Linked DNA regions of Saccharomyces cerevisiae S288C. The gene in region 2 interacts genetically with the main gene of each other region. Each region holds a gene or a part of one and is shown on either strand. Other genes may lie near its edges.

What was found. A genetic interaction does not mean that the proteins touch.
Region 1: mutations in YTA12 (region 2) and YET1 together harm fitness more than expected from each alone (negative genetic interaction), as found in Saccharomyces cerevisiae (one large-scale study listed by BioGRID).
Region 3: mutations in YTA12 (region 2) and SSP120 impair growth when combined (synthetic growth defect), as found in Saccharomyces cerevisiae (one large-scale study listed by BioGRID).

The regions. Positions count from the first base shown.
Region 1 is NC_001143.9:314,519-321,861, reverse strand, and holds YET1 (Yet1p), read left to right. Parts: upstream 1-4,804; coding exon 4,805-5,425; downstream 5,426-7,343. Other genes in the region: YKL063C (uncharacterized protein), read left to right, coding at 344-847; putative Mg(2+) transporter MNR2, read right to left, coding at 1,189-4,098; DPC7 (Dpc7p), read right to left, coding at 5,687-5,908; YNK1 (nucleoside diphosphate kinase), read right to left, coding at 6,589-7,050. UniProt on the Saccharomyces cerevisiae protein: May play a role in anterograde transport of membrane proteins from the endoplasmic reticulum to the Golgi.
Region 2 is NC_001145.3:442,298-451,504, reverse strand, and holds YTA12 (m-AAA protease subunit YTA12), read left to right. Parts: upstream 1-3,418; coding exon 3,419-5,896; downstream 5,897-9,207. Other genes in the region: NPL6 (Npl6p), read left to right, coding at 140-1,447; YMR090W (uncharacterized protein), read right to left, coding at 1,577-2,260; VBA1 (Vba1p), read left to right, coding at 6,403-8,091; PDL32 (putative ADP-ribose 1''-phosphate phosphatase), read right to left, coding at 8,124-8,978.
Region 3 is NC_001144.5:635,669-642,939, forward strand, and holds SSP120 (nucleobindin SSP120), read left to right. Parts: upstream 1-4,648; coding exon 4,649-5,353; downstream 5,354-7,271. Other genes in the region: serine/threonine protein kinase RCK2, read left to right, coding at 1-416; YEF3 (translation elongation factor EF-3), read left to right, coding at 1,112-4,246; SYM1 (ethanol metabolism protein), read left to right, coding at 5,796-6,389; CQD2 (Cqd2p), read left to right, coding at 6,959-7,271.

The DNA of each region.
Region 1 (7,343 bases), on a different chromosome or scaffold from region 2:
CAGGGTAAGCACCTATATGTAATTTGGCACGACGTGAGCAATTTCATGTTGTGCAGCGGGATAGCAAGCTGTGCAGCGGGATAGCAAGCTGTGCAGTATTCTAACAAAAAAAAACACGAAGAAAAAGAAAAGAATAGCGAATTTCTCAGTGACAGTCTTCCAATCTTTCAGAAAGGCAAAAAAAGTGATTTCGTCATTAACATTAAGAGTTAGCACTTTACCAGAGTGCTATTGCCTTCCAACATACGTTCCTCCCCTCCAAAGTAGTAGTACTATATAGATAAAGCTAGGGTATTCTGAGCAAATATAAATCAAACTAAAGTGATTCATAATTATAGAAAATATGCAGGGCGATATCAGAAGGAAAAAAGATCTTTTACCTCGTTATAAAACAGGAAGCAAATATAATTCCAGAAGAAGGGGCGGTTATCTGACTACCCCTATGAAAAAGATTATAGTATACATTATACTGTTATGTGGCGTTTATTTCGTTATAAAAGTTGCCTATTCTGATCTGAATAAAGAAACTGAGATCAAGCTAGAAAGCCATTCTTCTGATGTTTCTGCAAGTGCAAGCGATCATACCAATATTGCAGCCGGCGGTGCAGCTGATGCGACTAACAATAAGCAACCACAACAAGCTAAAGTACCTAAAGAAAAGTTCAATAATGAAGTCGCAAAGCAACAAGAAGTAAAGAATTTGGAGAACGATTTGAAACCACAAATTGATTCAGAAAAGCAAAAACAAATAAACAAGGACAAAAAAGAACAAAAACAGCAACTCCAGAAAGAGAAACAAGATCTCGCCAAGGAAAATTTGGCTAACAATGAAATCCTTGATAATTAACCAATTCAAAACTTCCAACAGTTTGGTGATGAAAATAATAAATGTTTTACGTTAACCTTATTGATTAACCTCACCTCCCTTATTCTTTGTATAGTATAAGTGCATACTAACATACTGTGTACGTACATAAAGATATGCAGAACGTTCACAAACATGTAGAAACCAGACACGAAAAAAAAAAAAAAAAAAAACATAAATAGATTAAAGATATTTATCACCACAAGTATACGATACGGCGCTGATAATTTACAATTCTATCCTTCGGGAAAGACAACAATAATTTAGGCTGATAATTAAAATCGAAGGAAAAGCAAGCGCTAATGCGCGAAAAAACACTTAAATTAAAACCCGAATCTTCTCTTAGTATACATATATGCAGAACATGCTAGCATACACATAAAAAGCACAATGCCTATAAACCATGTCAACGAATCCCTGTATTGTCCGGGCACGATAACATTCATACCCCACAGACCCGTAATCACATTCATTGGCAGAACAATAGTACCCAGTATGGTAATTTTTCCCAAAACGTCGTTCATGTCATTATTAACCTTCGTCATATCAATGTTGATTTGTGCCAGATAATTTGAATGCGATCTACTTAACAGTTTTTCATAATGGTTTAGCGATGAGACCATGGTTACAATATGATCTTGAATATCACCCAAATACATTGCGATTTCAGATTGTGGCGAAGCTTCCCATTGCTCATTATACCTTTTGGCAAATCCTTTTATCACATCAGCCTTGGATCCTAGCAATCTTAGTATACTCATCACTCTTTTACGGCATTCACCAATCCGCCTCAACATATCTCCTTTTCTCTTCCAACCTATCAAATTTGCATTGAATGACGCTTCAGAAGTGCTCATACTTCTTGAACTCACACTAGATTTTGCACTAGAGTAGGACGTCTTTTTAGAATAGACATCGAACGGAAATGCATCCTCATCGCTAGCGCCCGAATCGGAATCACTATCGCTAGAATCGCTATCACTAGAATCATCTGACTGATGCATCTTCAAAATGGCGTCCTCAATCTCATAAACTTCATCTTCGATAAGTTCTATCATAGGGGCAAATGCGTCTGTAATGTCATCGATTAAGGCATACGCAATCCAATCAGAGGTAACATTAAGGTAATCCTTTAGTAGTCTTGCTCTTCTTCGAACATTAATAGGATGTGGTGTGGGAGCAAAATGAAACGTCAATACACCAGTTCTGAAAACAATAATGTAAACATTCAATGGCTCTAATTCTCCCTCACGTGGTTTGTGCCTGTCTCCTGATTTTCTTTTGAATTTTTCGTTCTCTTCCATCTTTTTCTTTTCGCTTTTGACACGGCGTTTATAGCTTGATGATGATGTATTGGTTGTTCTATTTGCAGATGACCGACGGCGTGCACGTAAAATCGATGGAAGCCATTTGCTCCTACTTGCATTGCTTGTACTGTTATTGTTATTTGCATTTGATTCATTTGACATAGTAGCACCATAGGCTTGTGATTTACGACGTGAAATACTTTCATGATCCAAGGTAGCAGATTCTTGCTTTTCTTTTCTCCTCCGACGAACATGCTTTTCTGCTACAATATCGAAACTTCTAAAACAAATCAGGTAATAATCTCTAAATAGTTCCACTTTCTCACGAACTTCTCCCAAAAAAATATCTTCTGTAGTTAAAGGGTGAATTCCGAAAGCTTTACTTAATATTTTCATCTCCTCTTCAGTAGGATTGCTGACATCCAACCAGAATGGAGGAACATCCTCTATATTTGCCACAGACATAGACGATAAAGTGGAAGGGTTTTTAGCTGTCAATCCCTGGAGTTGAGATACAGTTTCTGCTTTTATACCAGGTGTTGGAGAATTTGGATGTGTCTTGATATGACCAGCGCTATTATCTTGGGAGTATATAGAAGCGACAAATAAATCTTGAAATTTTTGACCAGGTTGCAGTAAACCAGATATTGTCGGAGAATGAACAGTAGAGTCCAAATCCACCCTAAAATAAGTGAACCTGAAATGTTCTGGGTTATTAGAAATAATATGCGGAGGATATTGAATATTTCTGCCGACTAGTAAGTTATCTTGTAATCCGCTTTGAATTCTTGATTTTGAGTCCTTGGTTGAATTGGACCCAAGGACCATTGGACGTTGAATCAAATGCCATGGCGCAATTCTTTTTGGCCTTAAACGGCCGTTCTTCAAATTCTCTGTTTCGTTTACCCTTCTGTTTCCCAATTCAGGGACATCAATATTAGTTACGATTGGCTTTGAAAAAAGAATTCCATCTTCATTTGATGTTCCATCTTCCTCATCTTCATCGTATTGGAAGTGGAAAGCTTCAGCATCTTGAATAGCTTGACTTCTTAGTCTCTCTGTTTCTTCCTTGGAAAATTCTTCCAAAACAGTACAATCAGGCCAAGCTTTTGGCACTTCGCTACCCTCATCATCAAGCACTAAACAAACGTCATCCAAAGAAGAGTTATTTGAAGAAAGACTAGAAGATGGCCTTGAGTTATACTCATCCTCTTCATCGTTTGAATCACTGGATGTGGATTTGGAATTTTTGTTGCTACTATCATCAGAACCCCTCTTTTTCTTTCTTCTCTTGCTGTTATCATTAACCCCAGTACTTGCATTGTTGTTAACATGGTTCATTAACGCATCAACATCAATCACGACATCATTATTCGCGTTCGATTGTCTCCTATCGGTGGGGGAGTTTTCGTCAACAAAACTCTTATGAACAGATTTCCTTCTCTTCAGCCATGATTCAAGCTCTGAAGGGGATAAGTCCGATACTAATGATCTATTCTGATCAGAGGGTCTTAACCCTGCGGGTTTCTTGTAACTTGGTGTTGAAAACTTCATTATTGGCTGTGGTTGAACTGTGCTTGATACACTTTGAGGCCCCTCCCTAGGTTGGCTCATTGAAGGTCTATGATCAATGAACGCGCCCTTGAGCGATGGATCCTCACTTTTTATTATATCATTACTTGTAGAATCAGATTCATGCAGCATGCCCCAGGAATCGATCTGGTCGAAATCAGTAATCTGGCCGTGATTGTGTTGCAGATTATCATGCAGCAGTTGCGTTGGCCTACGTGAGTCTGACTTCAAGTGACCAACAAACTTGTCCTTTCTTCTTTTTTGATTGCGCTTCTTTTTCCTTAGTTGAGGGCTACTAGAGTAAGGGGAAAGCAAAGGAACACCTTCATCCTTTTGTGAGTTATCAGTGCTCATTTTTAATCTTTTTCTTCTCTACACTTCTCACTTTTATTCTCTCAATTTACTGTCGAAGTAAGGGGATAAACTCAGTGTAGCAATACGTACAACTTAGTCATCAAATGAAAAAATGCGGACTACCAAACCAGAAAATGATGAATAGTTATACAAGTATACGATAGTACAAAAATATATTTAAAGGGCCAGGTACTACTAACGACAACCTGGGCTAGGTTTCACATATCAAAAAGAAGTTATGGCTTATGTGCTCTTTCTAAGTTTGACTTTATGCCAAAAATTTCTCCGTAGATCGCCGCCCGTTGAAGCAGCAGAATATTTTAAGTGCGCCATAAAAACCTAGATAGAAAAGAAGGGAGAGAACATAAACGCAGAACACCACTACTTTTAAGGCGTACGCAAACTGTTGGGCTTATCTATATTGTACTATCTACCTACTTGCAACGTCTTTTACCTCCTCGATACGTACTGCTTATGCCCTGAACAATTTACATGTAACCCGCAGCTGCATGCTATATCACAGGATACGTTAACATAAAGGGGGCGCTACTAAACCCTCTGGCGCAGTGCAAAAATAGAAATATATGCCAAGTGGGACCTTGTATAGTTTCTGGTTTAAAGCTATTCGTTCATTGCAACGCTCCTTTCTGCTATCCTTTCGCAAAGTGGCAAGTACTGAAAACCGAGAAGAATAAATAATATTGCGATGAGTTTATACTTTACGACATTATTTTTATTGCTCACTGTTGAGATGGTAATGCTCTTCATCTTCGTTTTGCCTTTGCCATTCCGGATCCGTAGGGGTATTTTTAGCACCTATAACCAATTGACAGCGAAGCAGCAAATAAAAACTATAATCTTTATAACGGGTTGTCTTGTTGGCCTGTTGTTTATTGATTCATGGAAAAGGTCTCAAATTCGTGTTTCATTATACCACAACGACAACAGTGGCTCAATCGGGTCATCTGCTGTAACTCCAATACAGGCACTAGCATCAAGAGCGTACAATCAAAGAAATATGTATATTTCCGGGTTCATATTGTACTTTTCTATCTGTATCCCAACTGTCATGTCTATTGTCAAGAGACTGGTGAAATACCAAGGCTTAATCAACGAACAAGAAAAGCAAAAATTGAACAAACCTTCCTCAAACAGCAAGAAAGACTCAAATGAAGCTGATTCCACCAAACTTCAAGAGGAACTAAGGAAAAAGCAAATTTCTCTGGAGGGCCTACAAAAGCAAGTCAAAAACCTGGAGAAATATTTTGATGAGAAGAATCAACCTGGAAATGTAGCAGCTGCTGAAGCTTCCAAGAAAGGAAACTAAATAGATATATTTATGTATAAATGTATATACGTGTTACCTCTGGTGCTCATACTTCTCTGGTCGCGACGCAATACGAAAATGCTACTGAAATAAAAAGCAAGCGATTAGATCAAATGAATATATGCATTATATGTTACCAACTTTATTTTTTTTGAATATAGACGAAAAAACGTTAGAGAAAGACATAAAAAAAAAAGATTGAGCTTCGTGACTCGGTTTACCATTCTGTGTTATATACGAAAACCCTTATATAACAACTTTTTAAATTTTTTTCTCATTTTGGTATATCTTTTTAATTTCACTATGTTTGCTATCGTTCTTATAAAACAAATAAAGTAGAACTGGAATCATAACACCCACAGAACCGACCATTAGTCTAGATGTTTGTTTCTTAGGATTAGACCCTATCACAGGCTCAAAATCCTTTGAGGATACATATCTCCTACTTGTCCGTTGTAATAATTTCAAAATATTAGATCTCATCATTTAAAAATGTAAGCTTTTTTTTACTTGAGTTTTTGTTGTCAGAGTTAGGTCCAAAGTCCCTAGAATAGTGTACGCGATAAAACTCAGCTGCAAGTCTAATATATACATTCCGCCAGAAATTTCAATTTGGGATCCCTGCATATTGCCAAATTTATTGGAGAAACTGTTAAACCTAAAAGAACGGTAGTAGCTCTATCAACTTAAGGGTTGGGCACCCTTAAATGTTTCATTCAATAGGGAGATCCATTTCAAGTTGCCTATTTACTTGTACCCCTACATAGTCCAAGGGCGATGAACTACCTATAATAATGCCGGTAGGCATGCTTCCGGATATTACAAGACTATTCGCTGAAACCGTATGAACATCGTACGTTCCGCGATTGTAATAGACCTTTGCCAACTTGTATTTTTCGATGATACTATAAAGTTCGGAAAGAAGAAGGAAGTGTGGCAATTTCACTGGGAGCCAAAAGCATTTGACATCAGGCGTCATTGAAGCGTCATTAAGTATTATAAATTCGTATATAAGGGTAGCAACATAAGTGGTATTTTTTTTATATAATCGTGCTCCTTCTAAAAAATTCATTATATTATTAGCTAGTGAGGGAACATGATATGAGCTGCCCAAAGCGAGAAAAAAAAGGCGCTCATATGTACCCTCCCATGCCATAAGTTATTCATTCATAAATCCACTTAGCTTGATTAGATTCCCAATCAACTAACTCTTCCTTCTTAAACCACAAATTGATTTCACGTTCAGCGCTATCAACAGAATCACTGCCGTGACAGACGTTTCTGCCTAGGTCAATACCGAAATCACCTCTAATGGTACCTGGTGCACTGCCCAAAGGATTAGTAGCACCAAGAATAGTTCTTCCTTGTCTAACCACATCTTTTCCCTCCCAGACCGTGGCCAAAATGGGACCAGACTTCATAAAGGATACCATCTTTGGGAAAAATGGTTTACCAACATGCTCTGCGTAATGTTGCTCTAGTAATTTATCATCCGCTTTAACTAATTTAATAGCAACTAGTTTGTAACCTTTTTTTTCAAAACGAGATAGAATTTGAGATACTAAGCCCCTCTGGACACCATCTGGTTTTACCGCAATAAAAGTTCTTTCTGTTTGACTAGACATTTTTCCAGGGATGATTTATGAGATGTTTTTCCGGAAAGAACCTGATAACTTGATAAAGTATTCTATAGATAACCTATTTCAAAATAAGAAAACGATATGAGCTAACGAAGTACTAAGTCTTTCACTTTATATAATCGGCTCTCCGAATTAAAGTACTTTTAAGGAGGAAAACTGGTCTTCATTTTCGAAGACACGAAACGAAGCGAATTACGCGCCTTTTTATTTGATGGACTTGCTCGCCAGCCCAATGGATACGAACAAAAATTAATTCAAAAAATAGGAAAAAATGAAGA
Region 2 (9,207 bases):
TTAAAAAAAAACCCGTTCGAACTATTAAACATGTTACTGTGAGCAGACAAAAATATTGCAAGAAAACAGCTTTATAAAGTTTAAGCATTACTGAATACAGTACATTTACTTTTGAAGAAGGAAATACCATCTAGCAGAAATGTCAGATTCAGAGGGAGGTCTAGCTTCCGAAGTTGAACATGAGAAGCGGTCAAGATCTACTAGCAACAGACCCAATTATGCAATTGATACTGAGGATTTAGATATTGATGAAAATGATGAGAATGAAGATGATGATTACAGAGAAGAAGAAGCCAATGAGGGAGTGAATGAAGAAGAAATAAGTGATGAGGAGGAACAGATAAATAAAAGCGGAAGAAACAAAAGGAGGCACGTGGACGAAGAAGAGGATTTGTCAGAGGATAAAGGCGTTACTAGATCTAGAAACCGTTCAAAGTTCAAAAAACCAGTATTTCCCGGAATCGATGATGCTGAGGAGAACTTAAATCCTTTGAAAGTGGTCAATGAAGAATATGTTCTACCAGATGATCCTGAAGGTGAGACGAAGATAACTGCAGATGGTGATCTATTAGGAGGCAGAGAATTTTTAGTGCGCACCTTCACATTAACTGAGAAGGGGAATCGAAAGTTTATGCTGGCCACCGAACCGGCTAGGATAGTGGGTTTTAGAGATTCATATTTATTTTTTCAAACTCACCCCAACCTTTATAAGTTCATTCTGAATCAAACTCAAAAGAACGACTTGATAGACCGTGGCGTTTTACCTTATTCATATAGAAATAGACAAATCGCTCTAGTCACCGCTAGAGGCGTGTTTAAAGAATTTGGTGCTAAAATCATTCGTGGCGGCAAACATATAACCGATGATTATTATGCTTCTGAATTAAGAACAAAGGGAAATGTAATTGAAGGAAAACTTGCTGGTGATCCTATTGATAAATCCGCAAGGGCCTTAGAAACCATGATGTATCCTGCTTCCGAGAATGGCATAAACCCTGCAAAAAACCAGGTGGAATTCTTTGAACACAGGCCACATGGTCACATGAGTAATTCTAATATTATTGCATCAGGTAGTAAGCTGAGCTCTACAAATTGGCTCTATCAGCATTCTGCTGCGTGTAGTAGATTTAATAGCGATTTGTTTTATGATAGAGTGAAGGTTCTTCTTGTAGATCAACAAGGCTTGAGAGATGCATACACAAATATATTACACATACCAGAATCCACACAGTCAACCACTGTTTTAGGATGGAGGAGATCAAAAAACGATAGTCCCAGCGACACAAGCATTGTGTATGAGACCGTTATACACGATAACGATTTGAATAAACCGAAAACGGGACTGTCGGAAATCCCGAAAGAGATCTATGAAGACGTTGTTGATGAAGACGTTTTAAGGGCTATCACCGAACAACAAAATTTCGAAAAATGCAACGAATATATTTAGTATACTCAATGTAACAATATAACAAATTTTTATCTTCAAATCAAGGTAAAAAAATTCATATATTCTCACTTTCTTTTTCTTTTCTTGACTATTCATCTACATATGCATTTCACGCGTAAATAGGTTGATCTACAAACTTTGAATGAATTTTTCCATTGGCTCGTTGCCATTTACCAACGAAATGGTTTTTTTCACTGTTGCATTTGGATGTAGCAAGCTTTCCACAATAAAAGAAGCTACATCCTCCCTGTTAATGGAGTAGTTAACAGAAGCCTTCTCTTCTAATTTGTCAAGGGGTTGCAAAAGACCGGTACCTTTATTTAGTTCCAACGATCCAGGCTGTAAAATAGTGTAATCCAAATTAGAGTTTCTAACCTCACGATCAGCAGATCTCTTTGCAATATAGTATTCACGCAAACCCTTAATGTTATACCAAAAATCTCTATCCTCCGCCTTGAGCGCTGAAACAACAACGAACCTTTTGATACCAGCCTTTTCGCATGCTTCAACAACTTTGATACAGCCATCCAGATCAACCGTGAAAATTCTTTCCATTCCTTTACCACCCGCACCGGCGCTAAAGACCACGGCATCATAAGCCTTAATAGCGTCTGTGATCTCACTAACGGACGCGTTTTCTATATCTGTCAAACTAGCATCAACACCTACTTCATTCTTGAAATAATTGACTTGATCCTGTGTTCTAACAATCGCTAATGGTGTTGAGAAACTATCGTTGGCCTTCAATTGGTTTATCAATAAACGTCCAACTTTACCACTGGCACCGACAACCGCAACTTTCATAGGAGACATGGCTGTTAAGTCAATAATATATGAATACCGATGATATAACTTCAATGAATTTTTATTTGGAGGGAAAGTATCCTATTATGAGCGTCACGATGGGACTTTAAATATATATCCCTACTTCGAGTGTACCCTTACGTAATACTTGCAGCCCCTTGCTGTTGACAGCGCGATACAATTTTCGTACTAAACAATCACAGAGGTAACAGCAAAGTTTGGAAAGTACTTTTGTTGGAAAGTTATTACGGCCACTAACATTGTCTCGTCGTATTATTAAAAGCTATAACGTCGTATTTCTTTGCTCGCTTGTGTTTTGTGATACAGGAAACACACACCAACAGGTTCACCGAGGGCTGTTGTCTGTCTTTGTACTTTAACTCAAAGAACTTCTGTTTCACGATTTGTATTAATAGTTCTTGCAGGCTACTAGGCTGAATACGTTAAAATGGTTAGCAACGAATATAACCAGAAATACTTCGGGTACAATTCTGATACGTATATTTGTAGATATGTCTCGCTTGATGTTGCCAACTTTGTCAAAAATGGTAACGTATGGGCACACGGAATGTGCTAATCCTCGACTTTGCTCTTTCGTAAACCAATTTGATGCAAGTGCAGCGTGGTCTTTTGAAAGTGCATTATCTCATTGGGCGATGCGAAAACTCTGCCTACAGAAGTTCGCCGTTAGATAATTCTGATTGTAGAAAACCTACCAAAGAGAATAAACTAAAGTGTCATCTGCTAATTTATGATCTTATCGTCTGAGTGATGATGTATGTTTCTCTTTGTACGGTTCGTCTTGTGCTCATGTACGTAACATCCTCCATATGTGTGAATTATTTTGTCCGGCGTCTTGTTTGAATATCCCATCCGGACGTATTTCTTTATAGGATAACGCATGCACATATCGGTTCGTTCAATAAGAAAGTCCCTTCTGGTATTATTCGGTGTCCTGTAAGATCTATATACTAATCACCAAGCTATCTGGTGTCACATTGTGAATACATTTGTCTTTTGGTCCATTTTTCCCCATCATTTTCTCGTGAAAACGATCTCTAACTTTTGCCACTATAGTTTTAAAGGAAAGATTTTGAGCTGCCAACGAATACAATATAGCACACTCAAGAGTCTTGGCAAGCAACTTTAAAGTTAGAAAGAGTACTAATGTTGCTACTTTCTTGGTCAAGAATTGCTACTAAGGTAGTTAGAAGGCCCGTTCGCTTCCGGTCCTATTACGGCTTGACCCATATCAAGAGTTTACATACTCAATATCGGCTACTCAATAGGCTGCAAGAGAATAAGAGCGGTAACAAGAACGAGGACAATAACGAAGACGCTAAACTTAACAAAGAAATTCCCACAGACGAAGAGGTTGAAGCAATAAGAAAACAAGTAGAAAAATATATCGAACAAACTAAAAATAATACTATACCGGCTAACTGGAAAGAACAGAAACGCAAAATTGATGAAAGTATTAGGCGTTTAGAAGATGCTGTATTGAAACAAGAATCTAACAGAATTCAAGAAGAAAGAAAGGAAAAAGAGGAGGAAAATGGTCCTTCAAAAGCCAAGTCAAACAGAACAAAAGAGCAGGGCTACTTTGAAGGTAACAATAGCAGAAATATTCCACCGCCACCACCACCTCCTCCCCCAAAACCACCTCTAAATGATCCTAGTAATCCTGTATCGAAAAATGTTAACTTATTCCAGATAGGACTAACTTTTTTCCTCCTTTCGTTTTTATTGGATCTCCTCAACAGTTTGGAAGAGCAAAGTGAGATAACGTGGCAGGATTTTAGAGAGAAACTATTGGCAAAAGGTTATGTTGCGAAGTTGATTGTTGTCAACAAGTCCATGGTGAAAGTGATGTTAAATGACAACGGAAAAAACCAAGCCGACAATTACGGTCGCAACTTCTATTATTTCACAATTGGTTCAATTGATAGCTTCGAACACAAACTTCAGAAAGCACAGGACGAACTGGACATTGATAAGGATTTCAGAATACCTGTACTATATGTTCAAGAAGGCAATTGGGCTAAAGCTATGTTCCAAATTTTGCCAACTGTTTTAATGATTGCAGGTATTATTTGGTTGACAAGAAGATCGGCACAAGCAGCGGGCGGTAGCCGTGGAGGCATATTTGGTCTGAGTCGTTCTAAGGCTAAAAAATTTAACACTGAAACAGACGTTAAGATCAAGTTCAAGGACGTTGCCGGATGCGATGAGGCTAAGGAAGAAATTATGGAGTTTGTTAGCTTCTTGAAAGAACCTTCTCGTTATGAAAAAATGGGAGCTAAAATTCCTAGAGGTGCGATTCTATCTGGTCCACCAGGTACCGGTAAAACTTTGCTTGCAAAGGCAACAGCAGGTGAAGCCGGTGTTCCGTTTTATTTTGTTTCTGGTTCAGAATTTGTAGAAATGTTTGTTGGTGTTGGTGCAGCAAGAGTAAGAGATTTGTTCAAAACTGCAAGAGAAAATGCACCCTCAATTGTGTTTATTGACGAAATTGATGCTATAGGAAAAGCAAGACAAAAGGGTAATTTTTCAGGTGCCAATGATGAGAGAGAGAACACGCTAAATCAAATGTTAGTAGAAATGGATGGTTTCACTCCAGCTGACCACGTTGTTGTTTTAGCTGGTACCAATAGACCCGATATTCTCGATAAAGCATTATTAAGGCCTGGTAGATTTGACAGGCATATCAATATCGACAAGCCCGAACTTGAGGGTAGAAAAGCCATTTTTGCTGTTCATTTACATCATTTGAAACTTGCCGGGGAAATTTTTGATTTGAAAAATAGATTAGCGGCTTTGACGCCAGGCTTTTCTGGTGCTGATATTGCCAACGTTTGTAACGAGGCCGCCTTGATTGCTGCTAGAAGTGATGAAGATGCAGTAAAATTGAATCATTTTGAACAAGCTATCGAAAGAGTCATCGGTGGAGTGGAACGCAAATCCAAGCTACTCTCTCCCGAAGAGAAGAAAGTAGTGGCTTACCACGAGGCTGGTCATGCTGTATGTGGATGGTACTTAAAATACGCAGATCCTCTTCTGAAAGTCAGTATTATTCCACGTGGCCAGGGCGCCCTTGGTTATGCACAGTATTTGCCAGGTGATATCTTCTTACTAACTGAACAGCAACTTAAGGACAGAATGACCATGTCTCTGGGTGGAAGAGTTTCTGAAGAATTACATTTCCCATCAGTTACAAGTGGCGCATCTGATGACTTCAAAAAAGTTACTAGCATGGCCACGGCAATGGTCACAGAATTAGGCATGAGTGATAAAATTGGCTGGGTCAATTACCAGAAGAGAGATGATAGCGATTTGACAAAACCATTTTCGGACGAGACAGGTGACATTATTGATTCCGAAGTATACAGAATCGTCCAAGAATGCCATGACAGATGTACAAAGCTGCTTAAAGAAAAAGCAGAAGATGTAGAGAAGATTGCTCAAGTACTACTGAAAAAAGAAGTTTTGACAAGAGAAGATATGATTGATTTACTTGGTAAGCGCCCTTTCCCAGAAAGGAATGATGCTTTTGATAAGTACTTGAACGATTACGAAACGGAAAAAATCAGGAAGGAAGAAGAAAAAAACGAAAAACGTAATGAGCCTAAGCCATCTACAAACTGATTGATATTTCACAATACAAAGAAATGGAGGAAGACTGTTCTACATATCTTGCTTATTTTATTGAAAGCCAGACATCTTTCTTTTTCGGTAGAACACTGTCACGTATTTACCATATAATCTAATCTGAAAACATGTAAATATATATACGTGTATAAATGCACCTATATCTATATATGATCAAAGCGCTTCTGTGAGGCTGTCATTGGTTAATACACGCGATCTTTTTTTTATCGCTGATTCCACGGCTTAGCCTATCTTATCTTCAGTATTCGCATGATACACTTTTTCACTGCGTCGTTTTGTTGGATGATATCTGTCCGACAATAAACGTAGGTCATCTTAAGGGCCGGTGATAGAGAAGAGCATGCGGTTCCACTTTAGGCCAACCCACATTCCCAAAATATAAGAATACAGCAGCGATTTTTTTCTATCGAATTATTTTGTTTTTTGTCTCCTCTTTGTTCTTCACTAAGCTCAGAGCCCTAGTTGTTGAGGGAACAAGAAGAATGCAAACACTAGACGAGACTTCAAATCTACTCCCTCCACCTGAGGAAGCTGAAGCCCCTCCCTTGGAACAAAAATTTCATGAATATAATTTGGCCTTACCTAAGTTTCCCATTTTGTTTTCGCTATGGTTGGGTAGTTTTTTGAGTTCCTTGGATAGCACTATTGTCGCAAATATAATGAATAGAGTTGCTGAGGAATTCTCTGAATCAAGTAAAAAGCAATGGATTGCGACGAGTTTTCTTTTGACAAATACGGCTTTCCAACCACTATATGGGAAGCTTTCTGATATAACAGGGCGGAAGTCAGCATTATTAACCGCTCAATTTTTTTTTGGCCTTGGGTGCTTATTAACATGTTTTGCCAGAAACGTCACGGAATTCTCAATAGCAAGAGCCATATGTGGTATTGGTGCAGGAGGATTGAATGCTATTAGTAGCATTGCTGTTAGTGACATATGTACAGCAAGAGAAAGGGGCGTTTACCAGGGATATGCGAATATTGTTTTCGGGTTTGGTCAATTACTAGGTGCTCCGTTGGGTGGTGTATTTATAGAAACCATTGGATGGAGGGCTCTTTTTGGTATCCAAGTACCCGTGATAATGTTGTGCTCGGTATTAGCAATCAAAAACATTAATATTAAGCTATTCCATGTTCCTCCTATGAAAGAAAGATATACCTTAAAGAATCTGTCACGGATAGATATATTTGGCTCATTAAGCCTGGTGGCGACCATTAGTGGAGTTTTATTTTTGTGCTCTAGCCAGTTGAACAAGTTGTATTTAGCATTGTTTACCATTGGTAGCTTTATTGTTTTTATCCTGGTTGAACGTTATTACGCGACTGAGAAAATTTTACCATTCGAACTATTGACTCGCTCATTCTGTTTGAGCTCAGCGGTAACGGTTATATCTTCATTTGTTGTATTTGGTGAAATCTTTAGGTCACCAATCTATTTACAATTGCTTCAAAATATTAGTGTAACAAAGACTGGCCTCTTTTTGATTTTCCCCTCTATATCAGTTGCAGTCGGATCATTGGTAACAGGATGGGTATTGCGGAATACGAAAATTAACCTAGCACACTGTGCATATCAAATCATTTTTGGTGGTATGATAATGCAGCTATTGGGTTTGGGATTGGGCTATTTCCTACTTTCACACTTGAATCCTGACTACACCATATATGATATGCTTGAGTCTATTACATTCAGATCTAACTCAATATGGTGGAAATTGATATATGTGTTTGCATCAGTCCTTGTGTCCTTTGGTTACGCTTGTCTATTAGTGGCCACGTTAGTAAGCATCGTATTCACCGTCGAAAAATCACAGCAAGGAACCATGACTGGTGTTTTCTATTTGTGGAGATCCATTGGTAACGTTCTTGGTGCCTCTTTAACTTTAGTGTCCTATGAGAATAGCCTGTCGTCCATGTTATGGAATTATATGTTCAAAACCAAGCGTGATGACGAATATCACTTCACCAAAAAGCAGTACTACTCCCTTATCAATGATTCGAGTTACTTGAGAGGGCCCAATTTTCCAACGGATATATTTGTTCGCATTCTTGATGTCTACAAAAAGGCATTCCTGATTTCCTATATTCCAAATATAGCCCTGGCAGCAGTGGGAATTGTTTTATCGTTATATCTGGTGAAACATACTTACAAACGTAGTTCAAGTTCTTGAAAAATTGAAAATAGACTTTATATTATATACCTTTATAAATCCAAGGTCAAAATCCTTCTAGGAATGAGCAATTCTATTGCATCTTTTTCTACATTAAAGGATTTCAGCATTTCGATATCTATTCCTAGTTTTTGGCACTCTATTTTGCAACTTTCCGGGAAAAAAGGTTCAAACGGATATTGCAAATAATACATGATCAGCACATTTTTCAATTCTTTGCTTATGTGATCTCCCGCCATATATAGTCTTAACGCAAAGGCCATACTCTTGCAACTGATAATGGGTGGTACACCTGCATACCCAGTACATAATCCAGGAATAATAAGACCATCAATGTCTTTTGGAGAATGCATCAAGGCATTCCACATGGCGTTGAAAACCGGTTCAAACCCTGTCTTGAGGGGATTCTGCGGATTAAATATAGGAGCTGATGGGGCTACAACGGTCGGAACATGAATAATATACCTAATACCATCTCTACATTCAATTGTTTTCTCTTCAAGACATCGCTGTAGGTCAACCACTGTAGCAGATCCGACCGTGTGATATCTTCCTCCAAGCTGATTCCTGAACCATGTTTCAAAGGGCTTTCCCCCGAAATAATTATACAAAGCTTTATCGAACCCTCCTCCAAGATAGCCATACGAGTTACCAGGTGAAACAATTGCGTAAGAGTGGCCATGATGGATTGCATCACCTTTACGCATTGAATCCATAAGAGATTGAAGGTGCCCATGATGAATACAAAGATACTTATCATTTTGAATATATGCATGGGGTATAGATTCCTGCCAGAGATTGGTAACTACTTCGTTTGTATCGCATAATATTATTCTCATTTTTTTTACCCCGTTCAAAAGTGAGTGTCTGTTTAAAGATCCTGTCATGATTATGAATGTCTGCAGTTTTCCCAATTTTCCCAGTTCAAAATTACGAAGATGGCTTGGTGGTTTAAGATGTATTATGGACCATTATACATAGGGGATTCAATTCGTAAAGTTTAACCGTTAATAAGAAACACCCACACCTGAAGTTTTTACGAAAATCAAATGCTTCTCTTCTGTTATTGTTTGCTGCTAGGAACACGTATAGGAACACGAATAGGAACACGAATAT
Region 3 (7,271 bases), on a different chromosome or scaffold from region 2:
TGGACGACCCATGGTTAAATACATTCGATTGTTTACCAAAGGAGGGCGAATCTTCACAAAAGAAAGCAGGTACTTCCGAAAGACGCCATCCGCATAAGAAACAATTCCAACTATTTCAAAGAGACTCCTCGCTACTGTTTTCACCAGCTGCTGTTGCTATGCGTGACGCCTTTGATATTGGTAATGCTGTGAAACGTACCGAAGAAGACCGTATGGGAACACGTGGAGGATTAGGCTCGCTTGCTGAGGACGAAGAATTGGAAGATAGTTACAGTGGCGCCCAAGGCGATGAACAGCTGGAACAAAATATGTTCCAATTAACGCTGGATACGTCCACGATTCTGCAAAGAAGAAAAAAAGTTCAAGAAAATGACGTAGGGCCTACAATTCCAATAAGCGCCACTATCAGGGAATAGCAACTTTCCCTTCTGTTTCAATCTTTTTACCTATTCCTTTTTAAAAGATATATATACATTAAACTCCTTCTACAAGTATATATTTTATACATATCTACAGGGCGTATATATACATAACATTTTAAGATAAGCAAGTGAATGTTGATTCCCGTTTCTTAGTCAACACTTCTTTCTATTTTACCCGGTCGTTACCCTATTAAAAAAACAACTTACAATCATTGTTCGCCCCTTCCATACTTACTGCCACTCGCAAAAGGGCCCAACCAGGGCAATTACGTATCAAAAAATCATGACAGGCTGGGTAATAAATATTCGTGAAGAAAGAAGAAATTAAAAAAAGAAACGAAGAAGCAAAAAAAAGAAAAGACTCCGTTTAATCACTTTCAACCGCGGTTTATCCGGCCCCACCCATGCATAACCCTAAATTATTAGATCACTTAGCACGTGAAAAAGAAACGTTTTTAATGTTTTTTTTTTTTTTTTCTTTTTCTTTTTTTGCGTTGGTGAAAATTTTTTCGCTTCCTCGAGTATAATTATCTCATCTCATCTTTCATATAAGATAAGAAGTTTTATAAAAACCTTTTGCATCAAAATTTTGTAGAATATCTCTTTTTCTTACGCTCTCTTTCTTTCCTTAATTGTTTTCTAAAGAACCGTGTATTTTTCTAGTTCGAATCCATCGATAACATTAAAAGATGTCTGATTCCCAGCAATCCATTAAGGTTCTAGAAGAACTATTCCAGAAGTTATCTGTTGCCACTGCTGACAACAGACACGAAATCGCTTCTGAAGTCGCTTCTTTCTTGAATGGTAACATCATTGAACATGATGTTCCAGAACACTTCTTCGGTGAATTGGCCAAGGGTATCAAGGACAAGAAGACCGCTGCTAACGCCATGCAAGCTGTTGCTCACATTGCTAACCAATCTAACTTGTCTCCATCTGTTGAACCATACATCGTCCAATTGGTTCCAGCTATCTGTACCAACGCAGGTAACAAGGACAAAGAAATTCAATCTGTTGCTTCCGAAACTTTGATTTCCATCGTTAACGCTGTTAACCCAGTTGCCATCAAAGCTTTGTTGCCACATTTGACTAACGCTATTGTCGAAACTAACAAATGGCAAGAAAAGATTGCTATTTTGGCAGCTATCTCTGCTATGGTCGATGCTGCTAAGGATCAAGTTGCCCTAAGAATGCCAGAATTGATTCCAGTCTTGTCTGAAACCATGTGGGACACCAAGAAGGAAGTCAAGGCTGCTGCTACTGCCGCCATGACCAAGGCTACCGAAACTGTTGACAACAAGGATATTGAACGTTTCATTCCAAGTTTGATTCAATGTATTGCTGACCCAACTGAAGTTCCAGAAACCGTTCATTTGTTAGGTGCTACTACTTTCGTTGCTGAAGTTACTCCAGCTACTTTGTCCATCATGGTCCCATTGTTGTCCAGAGGTTTGAACGAAAGAGAAACCGGTATCAAGCGTAAGTCTGCTGTTATTATTGACAACATGTGTAAGTTGGTCGAAGACCCACAAGTTATTGCTCCTTTCTTGGGTAAATTGTTGCCAGGTTTGAAGAGTAACTTTGCTACCATTGCTGACCCAGAAGCCAGAGAAGTTACTTTGAGAGCTTTGAAGACTTTGAGAAGAGTTGGTAACGTTGGTGAAGACGATGCTATTCCAGAAGTTTCTCACGCTGGTGACGTTTCTACTACTTTGCAAGTCGTTAACGAATTGTTGAAGGACGAAACCGTTGCTCCAAGATTTAAGATTGTCGTCGAGTACATTGCCGCCATTGGTGCTGATTTGATCGATGAAAGAATCATTGACCAACAAGCTTGGTTCACCCACATCACCCCATACATGACTATCTTCTTGCACGAAAAGAAGGCCAAGGACATCTTGGACGAATTCAGAAAGAGAGCTGTCGACAACATTCCAGTTGGTCCAAACTTCGACGACGAAGAAGACGAAGGTGAAGACTTATGTAACTGTGAATTCTCTTTGGCTTATGGTGCTAAAATCTTGTTGAACAAGACCCAATTAAGATTGAAGAGAGCCAGAAGATATGGTATCTGTGGTCCAAACGGTTGTGGTAAGTCCACTTTAATGAGAGCTATTGCCAACGGTCAAGTTGATGGTTTCCCAACCCAAGAAGAATGTAGAACCGTCTACGTCGAACACGACATTGATGGTACTCACTCTGACACTTCCGTCTTGGATTTCGTTTTCGAATCTGGTGTTGGTACTAAAGAAGCTATCAAGGACAAATTGATTGAATTCGGTTTCACCGATGAAATGATTGCTATGCCAATCTCTGCTTTGTCTGGTGGTTGGAAGATGAAGTTGGCTCTAGCTAGAGCTGTGTTGAGAAATGCTGATATCTTGTTGTTAGATGAACCAACTAACCATTTGGATACCGTCAACGTTGCTTGGTTAGTTAACTACTTGAACACCTGTGGTATCACTTCTATCACTATTTCTCACGACTCCGTTTTCTTAGATAACGTCTGTGAATATATTATTAACTACGAAGGTTTGAAGTTGAGAAAGTACAAGGGTAACTTTACCGAATTCGTTAAGAAGTGTCCAGCTGCTAAGGCTTACGAAGAATTATCCAACACTGATTTGGAATTCAAGTTCCCAGAACCAGGTTACTTGGAAGGTGTTAAGACTAAGCAAAAGGCTATTGTCAAGGTTACCAACATGGAATTCCAATATCCAGGTACCTCTAAGCCACAAATCACTGACATTAACTTCCAATGTTCTTTGTCTTCCAGAATTGCTGTCATTGGTCCAAATGGTGCTGGTAAGTCTACTTTGATTAACGTCTTGACTGGTGAACTATTACCAACCTCTGGTGAAGTCTACACCCACGAAAATTGTCGTATCGCTTACATTAAGCAACACGCTTTTGCTCATATCGAATCTCATTTGGACAAGACTCCATCTGAATATATCCAATGGAGATTCCAAACCGGTGAAGATAGAGAAACCATGGACAGAGCTAACAGACAAATCAACGAAAACGATGCTGAAGCTATGAACAAGATCTTCAAGATTGAAGGTACCCCTAGAAGAATTGCCGGTATCCACTCCAGAAGAAAGTTCAAGAACACTTACGAATATGAATGTTCTTTCTTATTGGGTGAAAACATTGGTATGAAATCTGAAAGATGGGTTCCAATGATGTCCGTCGACAACGCTTGGATTCCAAGAGGTGAATTGGTTGAATCTCACTCTAAGATGGTTGCTGAAGTTGATATGAAGGAAGCTTTGGCTTCTGGTCAATTCCGTCCATTAACCAGAAAAGAAATTGAAGAACATTGTTCCATGTTGGGTTTGGACCCAGAAATTGTTTCTCACTCCAGAATTAGAGGTTTGTCTGGTGGTCAAAAGGTTAAGTTGGTCTTAGCTGCCGGTACATGGCAAAGACCTCACTTGATTGTCTTAGATGAACCTACCAACTATCTGGACAGAGATTCTTTGGGTGCTTTGTCTAAGGCTTTGAAGGAATTTGAAGGTGGTGTTATTATCATTACTCACTCTGCTGAATTCACAAAGAACTTGACTGAAGAAGTCTGGGCCGTCAAGGACGGTAGAATGACTCCATCTGGTCACAACTGGGTTAGTGGTCAAGGTGCTGGTCCAAGAATCGAAAAGAAGGAAGACGAAGAAGATAAATTCGATGCTATGGGTAACAAGATTGCCGGTGGTAAGAAGAAGAAGAAGTTGTCTTCTGCGGAATTGAGAAAGAAGAAGAAGGAAAGAATGAAGAAGAAGAAGGAATTGGGTGATGCTTACGTTTCTTCTGACGAAGAATTCTAATCTTTTTGATCACTGCTTTCACAGTTTTCTTTAAGATTTTTATTGATCAATAATTTATGTATATTTTAATTTCTATGTTTTTGTAATATTGTTTATTTTGGTAAAATATAGACGCAACTTCCTTATTATAAAGAAAGGCATTATTTAAAAGAAAAAGCGTTCCATTAGTCAGACATCTTTTTTTTTCATACATTCTTAAGCTCAGGCAAATTGAGCATTGCCTCATACCCTTTTCGGTAAGAGGGTAACGAAAATATTTTTTTGGAAGAATAAAAATAGGTGACGGATCATAGACTAGGAAGCTTTAAAACATGATTGAGCGTAATATTATATTCCTTCTAGAAAAGATAAAAGAGCCAAGACCTAAAATTTTTTCATCCCTGTTCTATTAAAATTGTGGAAATGAGGTTTTTGAGGGGATTTGTATTTTCTTTGGCTTTCACTCTATATAAAGTAACTGCCACGGCAGAAATAGGATCTGAAATTAATGTGGAAAATGAGGCACCACCTGATGGTTTATCCTGGGAGGAGTGGCATATGGACCATGAGCATCAGCTAAAAGATTACACTCCAGAGACTTTCTTCGCGTTACATGATATCAAGAAGAAAGGATTTTTAGATGAAAACGATATTCTATCTCTCTACGGGTTGAACCGTGAAGAAATTGTGGGGGCTGGTGATGGTATGGGACAACACGATGAATCTGAGAAAATTGACAATGAAATGGCTAAGCGTGTTGTTAGCCTTATTATGAGGTTATTGGATGTTGATGATAATACCAAAATCACCAAGGAGGAATATCTACAATTTGCTAAGAGAGGAAACAAGTTCCCTGACCTTGGCGTTGGTGTAGGTCACCACTCCGATTTTGAGCTAGAATATGAAATTCATCACTGGAATAAGTTTCATAAGGACAAAGATCCAGACGTTAAAGTCGTTCACAAAGAAGACATAGAACATGAATTGCTTCATCATGAACATGAAATTGAACATGAAGAAGAAATTCAAAGAGGCGCTTCTAGAGCTACTGTAATAACTGATGACGAACTAGAGTCTAGAATAGAGCTGAAAAATATTCCCGAGAAATTCAAAAATGGAATTTTTTAATGGACTTGGTCAAGATGAATAGTTGAGACTGAGAAAATATTCAAGACACTATGTATGTAGTCAATTAGCATGTAGTAAGTAATCAAAGCACTTAAAATATATTTTTACCATCGCATCGTTGTGATGCCTCTCCTTTGTGATTAACTATCTACTTTAAACGTTCTATTTTCTATGTTCTAATTACGTATGTATTGGTCTTTTCTCTCCGATGGTAACAAGAAGCGTTTCGGGAAACAGTGGCACCTCCTTGTCCCTTAAATGTCGAACTTTAACAGTATAAGTACAAAGTGAAAAAAAAAAAAAAATGGAAATATCTATGATAGTGATATGATAGAAGAGCTATTTGAATGCTATGTTGTCATATTTAGCCTTACAAAAGGGAAAAGGCAAACACAGTCTTTTGTTATTACTATAGGAAAGATAGAATTGATATTAAAACAGTATGAAGTTATTGCATTTATATGAAGCGAGCTTGAAGAGAAGGCCCAAAACTACGAATGCGATAATGACAGGTGCGCTATTTGGAATTGGTGATGTTTCTGCTCAATTGTTGTTTCCAACATCCAAAGTAAACAAGGGTTATGATTATAAAAGGACAGCTAGGGCTGTCATCTATGGTTCTTTAATTTTCTCCTTTATAGGTGACAAGTGGTACAAGATCTTGAACAACAAGATTTATATGCGTAACAGACCTCAGTACCACTGGTCTAATATGGTTTTACGGGTAGCTGTCGATCAATTGGCGTTTGCGCCGCTAGGTTTGCCATTTTATTTCACCTGTATGTCCATCATGGAAGGTAGATCATTTGACGTAGCTAAGTTGAAAATAAAAGAGCAATGGTGGCCTACACTTTTGACTAATTGGGCAGTTTGGCCACTTTTCCAAGCGATTAACTTTTCTGTTGTTCCTTTACAACATAGGTTACTAGCTGTTAATGTCGTTGCAATATTTTGGAACACTTACTTATCTTATAAAAACTCAAAGGTTATGGAGAAAGACAAGGTACCTGTTCATTATCCACCCGTGGTCGAATAACTGGATAAGAAATCCTGATTTTGAAAATATTTGGAATTCAACTAGCATATTTATCAGACCTTGTTCCTTGGGGTACTGGAACAGCATATACCTAATAGACTTTCGGCAGAGAGCAGACCAACTTCATAAATATTTGAGTCACCAAAGTTGGCTAGCAATCTGCTTTTCCTTTACAGATGTGCTTGGTCAGGAACAATTTATTTAATTACATTCGTACTTCTTTTATAGAGGAAATAGTAGCTAACATTTCACTATTGCGGTCATGCCTGTTGTTCTTCAGCTACCGTTTATGCAAAGGTGTTTAATTAGGTGTGAGACTTAAGTGGGCCTTTTAGTACCACTGTGGGTTCTGGACCTTTATATAATATTTCATTTTTTCAAAGGTTTTTTCATATGCCGTTAAAAGAGGTCAAAACATAGACCCGAGGAACATATCTTGTAAATCGCTGCGTTATGTATGCATATTGTACTCCTACCTTCGTAACTGGAAAGAATCAGTCTGAAAGTTTATTGAGCCTGAAACGGAGCAAGATTATAGTTGAATGTTTCTTATTCGGTGTTGATAGTAGATGATGACCAAAGCTTTTTTTAACAAACTACCGTTTGAGGTATTCCGTCGGTACGTTAGGACAGGTAAAAGCATCCCTCAAAGAAGCCCCAGGACAAGAAAATCTCTTCTGGTGGGTGGGACTATTGCATCAGCAGTAGTTTTGTACAACTTTAATGACACTTTTCATGATTCTGTAAAGCACACGGCACTGACGACTAAAAGAATCGCTGTCGTCACACAAGCTACCACTCGTTGCTTCTACCATTACAAGAGGGCTCTAAATAAAAGCTATGAGAACAAAAAAGAACGAGAAGTTGCCTTAAATAAATGTC